2 linked regions of the Oryzias latipes genome follow. The main gene of each other region encodes a partner of the protein of the gene in region 2 in a complex. Links are inferred from orthologs where the notes say so. Each region holds a gene or a part of one and is shown on either strand. Other genes may lie near its edges.

Region 1 (6,674 bases), on a different chromosome or scaffold from region 2:
CACCATTTTCCAAGGTAAATAGATAAAAGTTGGTGACCACAAATGATAGAGCTTCCATTTCTGAACACAGAAATAAACAAAATAGCTTAATAGACCTACAATGATGCAAGTTCTCAATGTTTTTACGTCTTGCTGATCGCCTTTGTTTTGCGGATAGAAAACTTGGTAATCACAGTTAGATCAATCAAGGTTGTTTATGTAGAGACGTACCTAAAATTTCAAATTTAACTGGATCTATCTGATCCTTATGTCATTGAAAGGGCTTAAAGAGAGCTTTCCGAAGACATAAAGATCATCCAGATAGCTCAAAGAATGAGAAAGTCATGCCACTGTAACCCTTGTGCTATCTTAGATGACCCCACCCTTACATTGACGTGTTCTCCCTACCATGACAAAGGTGGATAAAGGTGGAAAGATTTCATGGACACCAGTGAGGTTCACAAATCATTGAAGAAAAAAAGTTCAGAGCACTGTCTAGTGGGTCTATATGACCCAACTCCCAGTGTTAAAGTACCTAGGATAGCACAAGGATTAATACACAATGACACTTTTTCTCAATGAAATCATTTCAGACACCTTTGTGATTATTTTACAGAGATGTTTTTTCAAAATTGTCGTTTTTCTATTAGGTGAATTTACTGTTGCAAATTCTATTAGCGCAATTTCATAGTCAGCGGAAACGCCGCTATTAATGATGTCGCCCTTTGACCTTGGGAAGAGACCGCCATCTTGAATTTTCAAAAAAAAAGCACTTTAGGACCAAAATTTCCTCCAGTACCAAATTTGACAAATTTTTAGCGATCGTCTCGTAACTTCTTGGGTATCATTGTCAAGCTACTGTGGAAAAAATGTTGAAATTACAAGTTGTAGATTTTGACCGGTGTCCGCGTGGCAAGCTAGCCAATGTGGCGCACTGTTATAACTCTTATGTTTTTCAATGGAATGCTGTGAAATTTGAATGCATGCATCCTTGGCTGGAAGTGAACATAATGAAGAACACTGGATATGGCCATATAAGGAATGTGGGCGCGGTTAGCAAAAAACATCTGTTGCTATGGACATCCTTAAGTTTACTTTTTCTGATTCGTCTGAAACTGACATTGATCTGCTCGTTATCCGCTGGCAACCAAAACATAAAATGGTTGCTATGGAGATAAAATCAACAGAAAAGCCGCCATTTAAAATAAAAGTGGATTTTTTATCAACGTATGATATGTAGCTCTTACTAATGGAGCAATGTGTTTTTCTGAGTAAGTTGATGATGCTGATCGCTAAGCTAACACTTTTAGCCATACTAGCATAACTTTCATTGTTAGCATAATTAGCATCTTAAGCAATGTGTTTTTCTGAGTGAGTTGATGATGCTGATCGCAATGCTAGCAATTCTAGCCAAAATAGCATATCTAGCAGTGTTAGCATATTTAGAGTCTTAAGCAATGTGTTTTTTCTGAGTACGCTGATGATGCTGATCGCTAAGCTAGCACTTTTAGCCATTTTAGCATAACTACCATAGTTAGGATGGTTAGTATATGCATTTTTTGGGTGGTGAGGGCGGCTGAGCTGCATAGAGGTGGGCAGCGATAGCGGAGGTGGTGTGTAGAAGCGGGTAGCGCCTACAATGCCACGTACGGCTTTAATTTACATCTATAATTTTGTCTGCTGTGAGTTTTCCTGAAACTTTTGCTATGAACTCTATTAAAAATTGTCATATATTAGCTGGATGGTTCATATTAAGGGCTATTTTTATTAAAACAATGACACAAAGTTAGGTGAAATTGTTTTTTAAAAGAGAAAATGAGGAACGCTTCACGAATTTGCGTGTCATCCTTGCGCAGGGGCCATGCTAATCTTCTCTGTATCGTTCCAATTTTAGTATATGCACTAGAGAACTAGTGCAATGAGCCAATGTCTCGGAGTGCTTTTTAAACCCTCCCCTCTGCTACTCTTCTCAAGCATGAGGTGTGATCTGAGGGAACACAGTGGACTTTAAAGGGAACCACAATTAAGACAAAACACCAAAAAAGATCCTCTGTTTCTCCCATGACACAGGATCGTCTCAGGTTCACCATCTCCATTCAAAGTTTGACTTAAATGCTTAAATCAGATTAAAATTACATTTTTTCTGACTTTGTGAGAGACTTCTTGGAAGGATTCTGGGAAAAGAAGGGGGGTTTTGTCACGTCAGACGAGTGCGACTGGTTTCCCGGAAGCGCCAGAACAAAAGGTCGAGTCAACACCCCTCCAGGAGGACCTTTACCAACCCCCACCGCAGCTCCAACCAACCCCCATGTGCTGATGGTTACACACACAGGGGTGGAGACTCTTTCAGACAAGGATCTGTGTGGAGAAAGAGAAAACTGGTCTGATCGCGTCAGACTGACGTCATTCTGCTGCTGCCTTCAAGCAGGAAGCCAAAGCGACGACTCGCTGCAGAAAGATCAGCTCAGAGACGAGAGTCTGTGCTTCTGCTTCCAGCAACAGGACGAACAGAACTCACATGGACCTAAATTCAATAAGAAGAACCCATCAAAGACCAGGATTATACACTTTCATTGGTGCGGAGACGATCCTGAGTGGCTTGCTTCCCTGTTGAGAGCCTGTCGGCTCCTGGTTGAACTAAATTCTGACCATTTCCTGCTTTTTCTCCAATATGCTGCCTCTGAAATTCTTTAAATACATTGTGAGCATCTGTGAGGTAAAATTCTACTTCAAAAATCCTGTTTCTAAACACAAAGATACAGTCATGTTTAATGCAGAAAATACCTGCTGTAGATCTGCCACATGGTGCCGCTGTTTCACCGCTCCACCTGGAGATTCATTACATGGAAGCGTTGCATTCAACTAAAATAAAGAAACGGTGGATCTTCATTATATTTATTCTGTGGAATTTTGTTCCAGTATTTCAAGAACTATAAAGGCAAATAACTTCATTTGCTCATCAAACATATAAGATGAGCTGCAATTAGAAGTTGAGAATGTGTTCGTGTCACAGACACATCCGGTCACCGGTCTGCTTTGTTTTTTTCATACTAACTTTATCCACAAACATGACGTTGGATATAGTTCTATTGACTAGTGTAAACTTTTTATTTGTGTCTGTGGTGAAGCAGAAAACGAGTCACAGCCTGAGTTTACTTCGATGTGAAGCTACAGAGGCAGACGGGGACCGTCAATAAAGTACACCAAAACACCCCAGACAAACAATAGCAGTTTCTCAGTAAGTCAACATAAATAACCTCTAAAACATTACAAGTACTCACTATTGTTCAAACAAACTCCACATAAATCCATACTATTACTTTATTACTGCTTTTCTTAGAGTGAACCAGCGTGTTGGAGTCACCCAAGTTGTAGACGTGTCCTTATCACCTCGCTTTAGGACAACTGCCGTAGTCCTAAAAAAACAGTGATCAAATGATCAAATAACTGGACCTTTTCTACGCGCTTTCTGGCCGTCCAAATGCAGAGAAATTGACGACAAACACCCACAGTCAGCAATAAATAAGAAGTTTAACGTTATTTACTGGAACGGAATGGAAATTTGGTGAAATTAGCGGGCCAGAAACTACTTTCAAATCCGCCATTTATTTAGATTAGAGCTTTGAACGTTAGCAACAATTAAATTTGTTTTTGTTTTCTACTAATAACACATCATTAAACTGTGTTTTCGACAAGACGAGCAACACATCTATTCCGTTATCTCACGAAAGCAGTAGTTATAATCTCGTAATATCGACTTAAATCACTCCAGAAAGTGAACTAATTGAGCAAACACGGCGGCCGTCGTCTTTCGTTTCCCTAAAAGCTTTGAACAATTTCTTTGATCTTAACCGCCACGCATGAGCTGCTCGTCTTCTCATGATTGTCGCATGTGTGAAGCTCAGAAAGCAGAATTCTGCTCCTCACCGTCGTTTGGACTCAGGTTGTTCGGGAGAAGTAGGACACGGAAGCACAAAAGCCGAACCCAGAGCGGTTCTGATCCGAACCTTTCACGCTGGAGTCCAGTAGGTGACTAGTCCGAGACATTCAGGGAACGTCCGAAAAAGAAAATCTCTCTTGAAAAAGTTTAGGAATTTAAAAAACAATAAAGAAAGCACAAGTAGGATTTTGTTTATCTATAAATGGACCCCCCCCACACACACACACACACTATAAAATCATTACTTAAATAAATAAAACAATAAACTAAGAAATGAGGTTTTTAAAGACAAACACAGTAAAAACATTGATTTCCACCTTTAATGAATGTCTGTGAATCGATCAATCGATGACCTCACGCGTTCATGGTTTTCATCCATTTACAGGTTCTTTCTGTTGAGAGAAGAAGTGAATCCCTTCCAGTTGTTTGTTTCTTTAGAAGAATCAGCAGCAGAGGATCTTTATGCTGCAACCGCGCACAGCGGGCCGCGAACTCGGGAGCTTCTGCACGGCGAGAGGAAGTCTTCCTCCGACGGGCCTGATCAGAGTGTTCCAACTTCTCAATCAATCAAATGGCCAGAATTGTTCCAATTTCTAGTATCAAACTTTGCTGTGTCCAATCAGAGAGCCGGATTCGTTCCAATTCCTTCAAATAACTGCCGGTTTTCCATTATTTTAAGACAAATAAATAGTTTGCATTATTTCAAGTGTCTAAAAGAGATTAATGTATTTGTGAAGAAGTGAACTCACGTTGTTACGTGTGTTTTAGTGAAAAAGGAAAAGGAAAGAACATATTTAATACAAAGTTTGCAGGCGGAGATGATTTTGTTTTTACAGGGAACGTTTATTTGCAATAAAAGTAGAATTGAAAAGAAAATATCAAGAATAAACTTCTTTTGAATCAGAACATTTTTAATAATAGGAATATTGTTTCCACAGAAAACTAAAATGTGTGCAGAGATTTAAATGGAAATGAGATCCAGCAAAGTACCAGGAGTGAAGAAGCTGAGAGGAGATTTCTCCGATGATGCTGTGATGATGAACCTGCTGGTGTTTCTGCGGCAGATCTAACCTCTGTCATTGTTCACCAGCAGAAACCTGGAAAAACACAGAACGACCCACTGACTGACTTTGGATGAAGAAAGAGGAAGACTCCCACCAGCTTTCATGGGAGAAGAAGGTCCAAGGTGAGGCAGGTCGTCAGTCTTGGGAAGGGATGGGAGAGGTGGAGTGGTGGATTCTGGACCCGTGCAGAAGCTCATGAGTTCATGTCTCACTTTGTACACTCAGACTGAAAAGGTTCAAATCATAGAAATGCAGGAGAAATCTAAAAGATTTAGCAAAGTATTTGCATCTCTAAATACTTTGAAATTGGGCTGATTTGGTGGTGAGAGATGATGCATTGAATCATTTGGCACAAAGAGATGTGAAAGTACTGAGTAAACAAATTGTTTTGTGCTTTTTTTCAGACTTAATCATCGACAAAACAAAGCTGCAGCTGCAGAACTCTCCGTGTTCTGGACAGATGTGTTCACCAAAGAGGGCAGAACTCTCTCATCACACATAAACGTCAGCTAAAACTAAATTGGATCAAGGTTTTTTGAAGCTTAAGCATTAGAACAAAAAGTGTGGCGCTTCAACTCGTCCTGAAGATCTTTTCACACTTTTCCCAGAGTTTTTCATCACTGCTTCTGCTTTGTGTTCAACCTTTGAACATGATTGATGAACTCTTTCTTTGCTTCAGAACCATCATGTTGTGGATTAGCTTTCAAAGTACAGCGTCTGTTAAAAATCTGTTTCTATTTTTATTTATTCTCAAAGTTAGAATCTTGAACAGTTCTTCTTCCTCACATCCTGGACTTTAAAATGTGTCAATAAGCTACATTTAGTGTCAAACCTACATAAAATGTTGATTTTGCACAAATCGTTACAGCTTCAAGAAAAACTGCAGAACACAAAATGTCTGTTAAATTGTATCTATTTTTCAATCAAATAAACTTTTATGGCCTTTCAGTCTTTTTTCTGCCTTTTATTTCCTATTCTTCCTCCACACGTTTCCTACTGACAGCTGCACATTATAGGAGACACCAGCATTGCATGTGTGGCCACACCTTCTGATGGAAAATGTGTCCATGATGGAGGCCCTCTCTAAAATACAGAAGCTGCTGCTTCGGCTTTCTTCGTCTTCTGATGATGATAGCAGGAGCCGCTTCTTTGACTTCAGGATCTTCTAGGCGCAGTGTTGTCCCACCTGAACAAAAGACAGTCGTTTAGTCCTGTATCGACTCGCCAAGGTCCTCCCCCCCAGCTCATCTACGTGGATCACGACTGCTGCAGCAGAGACGGCGTGTCCAAGACATCTGCCTTGTTTTCGGAACAAACTCAGATTCACTATGTTTGCACTATTGCTGACACAGTTCAGTCCTAAAGGTCTCTCAATGTTTGTCTTGTAGGAGTGGGGGCAGCTGGTGGTTCGACTTGACACTTGGTACCTGATGCGCCGCTTTGCGTCAGGTGTCACCACTGAGAGCCACCAGCTCCATCCCGCCTTCATGAGGCAGCTGTCTCACTGCATCTTCGAGGTGGACCCCGGAGATGCCCGCCGTCTGACTCAGGCTAAGCGGCACAAGCAGCAGCAGCAGAAGCACCACCAGAGGAAGGCCTTCCACCAGCCACAAAAGTCCGCCGACAGGTTGTGCAGTACACTTGCAGAAAGTGTGGCAGGCCCAAAAGGCTAGACACTGGCCACACACGCA
Region 2 (6,388 bases):
GAGGATCTGCGCCAGCACGTTGACGGTCTGCTCGCTGCTCAAACCCGTACGCTTGGTCTGGAACTTCTTCAGCAGGTCTTTGGTGGTCATCGGTTTGCGGATCAAGTAGCGCCGAACCGCTTCTTCGGTTAGCTGCACATCACTGGAGAGGGAAATCCAATATGACTCAAACTTATACTGATACGTTAGTAGTATCAATATTGGTTTTTTTATTCCCATAATTCCACTCTTCCTGCAACTGGAGTAGTTAAATGACTACAGACGAATAACAAAAACTCAATCCGGATGAAGGTATCCTATAGACACATTTCTAACAAATGTATTTCATGTTTCTTTACAAAAATGCTCTTTTAATTCAACTCAATCATTTGTTAAAATTCAGAATGCACGTGTGGCGGTGTGCAGGATAAAAGTACCTTGAACTAGGGGTGGATTTGCCTGATGAAGGTTGAGGTGTACTCTTCCCTGAGGGTCCTGGGCTCTGAGAGCTGGGCTCCATTTTAAGCCTTTTGGCCGCCGGCGAGTCGGCACTAGGACCCTGTGGCGGTCTCTTTCCTGTAAAAAGCAGAGGTTTGATCACAACAGCAAAACAGGAGTCCCCACCTGTGCTGACACGGGTCGTCCTGTTCGAGGTCACGTTCCTAGACGTGTCCGAGTGCAAAAACCTGCCTTGCTCTAGTTTGCTGGCGGCTGCCCGGAGCGTGCTGGAGGTGGAGCCGGAGTCGATGGAGGGCGTCCCTGGACGGCTGCTGGTCCTGGAGCTGCCTGCAGAGCCGCGGCCTGCCGCACGTTTGGGGGGCGTGCGCTTCTTCTGAGAAGAGAGGAGGGGTGACGCTTTTAAGTTTACATGCTGAACATCCGATTCCCCCTCAGTTTGCTTTATTTTTGTTCAATAAATGTTTCTTTTATAGGTCAAAACTGCACATAAAATAGATTTTTTCTTATTGCCATTTTATCAAAAGGATTTGATCTTTTACCAAAGTGACCAATGGTTCTTTGCAGCTGAGCAAATCCAAATGTGGACTCAAAAATAAAAAGTCACAAGTTTCATGTCAAAATACATGGAAATTGAGACTTCAAGAACAAAAAAACGTAAAATCTGCTTCTGGAAAAATTGATGCCTTTTGAAAAGAAACATGATACTTAAAGAGGAATAACACTAAAAACAAAACTAACCGCCATGAACAGAGCAGAGGCCGTCTCTCCCTCAATGTCGCTGTCGTCCGAAGTCTCTGACTCCCCGCTGCTGTCTGCGACAAATGAGCCTACATGACTTTTTCCCCTCAGATACCTCTAATCATTTAAAAAAAAAAAACTTGTATAACTGATACCTTTTTTCTTTTTCTTTTCCACCTGAACCGGAGTCTTCTTTCCTTCCTCCTCCTCTTCTTCCTCCTTTGCTTCTTCTTCATTCTGGTTCTCCTCCTCGCTCTCCTCCTCGCTCTCAGATGCCTCATCTATGCCTATTTGAGCAGAAACCAACAGGGTAGCCGTTCATTTCTCTATAAAATGTCCTTTTTAAAAAAAAAACAGCTAAATGTTCCTAGTGTAAAAACAAAAACCTTTAGGGTGCTCCTCCTGTTTGTTTGGCTTCTCCTTTGTTAGCTCCTCCTCTGAACTAAAAAGGAAACAAATGATCTAAAAGTGTCACGCATTTAGCTTTAGTTTGAATTCAAAGAACGTAGAAAATCAAAAATGCAGACTTGTTCTTCTAAAAAGACCAAATAAAAACATGTTCTTTCTTTAATATGTATATGTGGTAAATACGCTGAGGAGCCCACCTGCTTTCATCTGACATATAATCCACCTCTAGACCCTCATAGTCTCCATCATCGCTGTCTTCCAGGGCATCCTTCTCATTGCTCTTTTGTTTCTTTTTCTTTGCTTTCCCTTTGGCTTTGTCTTTCTTTGCCTTTGCTTTGTTTTCTCCATCTGCAAACGAAGAAGAGACGGAAGCTGCAGGTGAGGAAAATGAGCTGACAGACGTTTGGAGGAAGGGGCTGAGCGCCCTGACAGTTCTGGAGCCTGCTGCATGGATCCTTACCATCTCCCATGCTGTTGTCGCTGTCGTCGCTGCTCATCTCCAGGTCTTCATCCAGATCATGAATTCGCAAATCTCCACCCTTCCCGCCCCCTTTCTTTTTCTTCTTTCCGGGTTTGTCGGCGTCATCGTCATCCTCCTCGCCCCGCTCCTGTTCCCGGAGGCGTCTCTGAAGCATGATGCTGAAGTGATTCACCACCTTGTTCCGCCTGGACAAAGAAGGAAATGACTTTTAAAACACAAAAGGCATTCTCCAAGTCCAGCTTGCTGCTCTGCTAACCTGCCCCACTCCTCCTCAGCTTCCTCTGCAGTCAGAGTTCGGTGCTTCGCCACCGGCGTGAAGTTGTACCAGCCGTGAACGGGGAAAGCCTCGAAGGCTCCATCAGGACACTGCGTAAAGATGTAGTAGGATGCATTTTCTGTCACGCCGCCCTTCTTTATACCTTTGAACCTGATGCAGAAAGACAAATATTATAGCCAGACTGAAGATTGTAGAACTGGAATCATAGGAGAATCTTGCTGCAATAAACATTTTAGGAAAAATAAAAAACACACCAACAGATTTTGTTAAAAATTGGTGAGGATTACACCAAATCTTACTCAGTACGAAGACGTATTTGCTCATTTTCTACAACGGTTAAATAAATATGGTTTATTGATTTTCTTTATTTGAAGAAAAAAAAGTCATAACTTCAAGAAAGCCTGCAGGTAAATTAAAAAAAAAAAATGTACTTAAGTTTCAAAAATAGAAACATTTATCGCTTTACCTTTTTCCTGCTTTTCCGTTGACCTTTAAAATCCACGGCTGATCCTCCACCTTGAACTCTCTGGTCACAATGCCATACTTCTTCCGCCGCGCTTCCTCGCGCTGCTTTTTGCCAAACTCGCTCCCTGCCCCTCCCTCTGGTAACTCCTCCTCGCCATATATTCGCCGAGCACTCAGGTCGCGTTCCATGCGAGCCTGGGGGAGTGACAAAGCAGGATATTTAACTTAATACCTTTTTTTTTTTTAGAACTTTTATCAAACAAGGGAAGTCCCATCGAGATTAGAAATCTCGTTTCCAAGGGAGACCTGGCCAAGAGGCACCACATTTCAATACAAAAAATACATTTAAAAAAACATCATTAGTACCACATATGTCATAAAACGCAGTTGCTTTATTAATCCGTACTCCCTTGTATTTTGTCACAAATTTCTGAATTCCTAAGGATGTTTTAAGAGATCTTATTGTTTTTAATTATAACCAAATTTAAAATATAGATTTACTTTACTGGAGCAAAAAAGAAGACATGAAGCCCACCTGTGTCCAGGCCGAACAGTTGACTTTGTCTCCAGAATTAAAAGCCATGATGTTGTACTTCTTGCTTGTATTTCTATGGGGCAAGAAAATAAATAAAAAAATAAAAAGAGTTGTTTTTGCAAGGCGGAGTCAAGTAACACGTTGACAAATTTAGGGCAGAATGATGCAAAACATTACTATTTCAAAGGATAACGGTGTCATTTCTGTGTTATGGTCAACATTACTAACACATTACTGCTTTCATTTACTCACTTGGGGACTCTCACTGTGTATTCTGTAGTCGAAGCACTGCTGCCCCCCTGGAAGATGGTAAACAAACAAACAAACAAACAAATAATGTGGAATTTCTATTAAAAAAAGGTTTTGCTATAAGATCAGCGACCTTCTGATTGAATGAGTTTTTGCCTGCATGCAACTCAGGCTTTACAATTAGTCTCCACTGATAAATTCGTGTAACATTGTCTTCTGTAGCGCAGATTAATAAAGTTTTCTTTCCTGCTGTAACCGGAAGCTGCCGGGCTAAAATAGCTTAAATGAAACGAAAACATTTTACATGTTAATAATAATAAAAATAATCATTAAAAAAAAGTCAGAACTTACCAGAGATGTCATGATTGTTTATCAACAACTTCTGGATTTGCCAACACTTCACTGGAGCTATTAAGGGTTTACAGAAAAAGAAAGGACATTTTAGCAGGTATTTCACTAATGTTTAGTGCAACATGATCATGTCGGCCATTTTCATAATGTGTAAAAATATGATTACGTTTATTACAAAACTAGTTTTATAGACGGGTTAGAAAAAAACAAATGTTCGAAAGCAAACAATCACCGAAAACTGGTTTTATTGTGAAAGAAAATAACAATGAATGCTGAGTCTCACCAACCCGGTCGTAGAGATTTCAATGGTTAGCTCTGATTAGATCATTAGATCTCCAGCACGATAAACGAGCTCATATGGTCGTTTTAGTCCAACTTCAGACCGAGTGAAGATGCATAAAAGGAAAATGAAATACAAAAATAGTGTTGTTGTTTTTTTTAAAAGAAAAAGCCCCGCATCTCCGAGAGTAAAACACTACTACTGGTGTACCGGTGAGGTGCGCGTTGTTGCAGCGTAATCGTTCCGTCACTTTTTACGGTCGACAGGAAACCTTGGCACGTCACAAATAGTTCCTATTGAAAATGCAGACAGTAACTGGAATGAAAGAAAAAAAAATCAAACTAATAAGTAAAAACAGACTTACCAACAAAGAAAAACATATAAATTAAATTTGTTTCCCTGAAATGTAGTTTAAAATTTATAAAAACTTTATTAAAAAAGTAAAACATTATTTAAAAAAGTAATTAAATTAATTGTTTCCTTTAAAAAATAATGATTAGGCTGTGAACACAGTGTTAAGAGCCGATTATGCTTGAGTGCACCTGAATGTAAGGAAAGGAAAGTGTAAATGCCATTCACAATTTTTACAATTTGACAATTAATCTGTGATCATGGCCGGCCCTCCCTATACGCGAATTACGCAGCCGCGTAGGGCCCCCACATCACCAGGGCCCCGAAGTGGCGAAAAAATAAAATAAAAAAAAGACCCAAATCTGGCAACCTATTTCATAGCTGTGAATGTTGTGCAAAAGAAAGTTGGCTGCACTTTAATGATCCCCCTTGTCAACAAACCTGAACCAATCTGGCAACCCAAATAATGACGTTACGCCACTCTCAGCAACGATTGGCCAACATCACTGCATCTGAGCCTGGCACAGTGTGCATTTACGAGCGCATTTTGTTTCAATAAAGTTGAGAAAAGAAAAAAAAATAGCTCATTTTGTCACGCTGATCAAAGCGACAACAAGAGCACTTCATGCCAAAGAGACTTTATCCATCAGGAGCTGAAAAAAGATGAACAACTTCAGCATCAATCACAAGGTAAGTTTGGAGGATGATGGGGCCATATTTTTTACATTATCCAGTATTTCTGTGCATTCGCGATTTAAAATACTAATTGATCCGAAGTTCGGTAAAGTTAGAAAGACAGGTGAAGTTTGCACATAAACGACCCCGTTTGTTGTAATTTCCAATGGAAAACTCTAAAATAATTCTGATACCCAAGTTTCCTGGATGAGGTCAGACAGGACCTTCCAAAACGGCGAAGAGAAGATTAAATAACGACAACGGTGATGGCTGATAAATGTTTAACTCACGTTATTGTATTGTTTAATTGTTTTGCTAACACATATTTAGTGCGTTCTGCATTTTCCGGTTTACGTCAGTATAGAAACTGCTGTTTATCTGTTATAGACAGTCTGGTAGTCTGACTTTTTCAACAATGTGTCTTAAAATCTTGCATTGGCATGGAATATGGAGAATCAAAACTGCCAAATACAAGTAGGAAATAAAGGTTCTAATTTATTAATGACAAATAAAATAAATGTACTCATTTTAAAATTATGAACATACAAAATAATAGAATAAGAAGTGTATAAATGCTTATATTTCCATTTATACTCAAATTATTATTCACATTTATTATTTATAAATAGGTACATTTCTTTCTCATTTGTATTTCGCAGTTTTGGTTCTACATAATGAGGATGTTTTGCACAGTTCCGTGTCAGCCAACATTTTCTTCTGCTCTCAAAAAGTATCAAAAAGTATTGGAGGAGGTGCAGCATCCACATCCCCTCATGTGGCATGTAAAGTAATTTAAAAAACAGTGTCTGCATAACCCCTTTTTTTCCATAAACAGCGGCTGAAGAGTATGGAGCCCTAAACTGTTCTTAATAAATAAATAAATATGATCTTGTGCAAATATATAATCAAACAATCTATTTTTCATAAATATATAAAAAGATCATGACATTGTGAAAAACCTGCACACAGATTTTAACCGAACCACTAAACTATTAGTAGTATTCTGCTATAGTTATTTTATTAACTTCATCATTAATTATTGTATAATGATTCTTGTTTTTTAGCTGCAGAGGAAACTCCTGTCACCACATCTTCTGTTGAAAGGGAAAACGTTGATGCTGCTGCTGGTCAGTTCAAATC

The links. Proteins that work in one complex are often made in the same cells at the same time.
Region 1: gtf2f1 (region 2) and polr2k share a complex: the UniProt entries of both Homo sapiens proteins name them as parts of the TBP-based Pol II pre-initiation complex. The link is inferred for Oryzias latipes from reciprocal best matches to the Homo sapiens genes GTF2F1 and POLR2K.

What each region holds. Positions count from the first base shown.
Region 1 is NC_019869.2:7,012,509-7,019,182, reverse strand, and holds the start of polr2k (DNA-directed RNA polymerases I, II, and III subunit RPABC4), read right to left. Parts: upstream 4,021-6,674; 5' UTR 3,907-4,020; intron 2,842-3,906; 5' UTR 2,764-2,841; intron 2,681-2,763; exon of another isoform or gene 2,201-2,680; intron 1,897-2,200; exon of another isoform or gene 1,791-1,896; intron 1-1,790. UniProt on the Homo sapiens protein: DNA-dependent RNA polymerase catalyzes the transcription of DNA into RNA using the four ribonucleoside triphosphates as substrates.
Region 2 is NC_019866.2:14,105,785-14,112,172, reverse strand, and holds the start of gtf2f1 (general transcription factor IIF subunit 1), read right to left. Parts: upstream 4,493-6,388; 5' UTR 4,226-4,492; intron 4,000-4,225; 5' UTR 3,955-3,999; coding exon 3,943-3,954; intron 3,642-3,942; coding exon 3,595-3,641; intron 3,416-3,594; coding exon 3,343-3,415; intron 3,003-3,342; coding exon 2,809-3,002; intron 2,493-2,808; coding exon 2,322-2,492; intron 2,251-2,321; coding exon 2,045-2,250; intron 1,933-2,044; coding exon 1,782-1,932; intron 1,619-1,781; coding exon 1,563-1,618; intron 1,464-1,562; coding exon 1,332-1,463; intron 1,251-1,331; coding exon 1,177-1,250; intron 812-1,176; coding exon 670-811; intron 556-669; coding exon 417-555; intron 143-416; coding exon 1-142. UniProt on the Homo sapiens protein: TFIIF is a general transcription initiation factor that binds to RNA polymerase II and helps to recruit it to the initiation complex in collaboration with TFIIB. It promotes transcription elongation.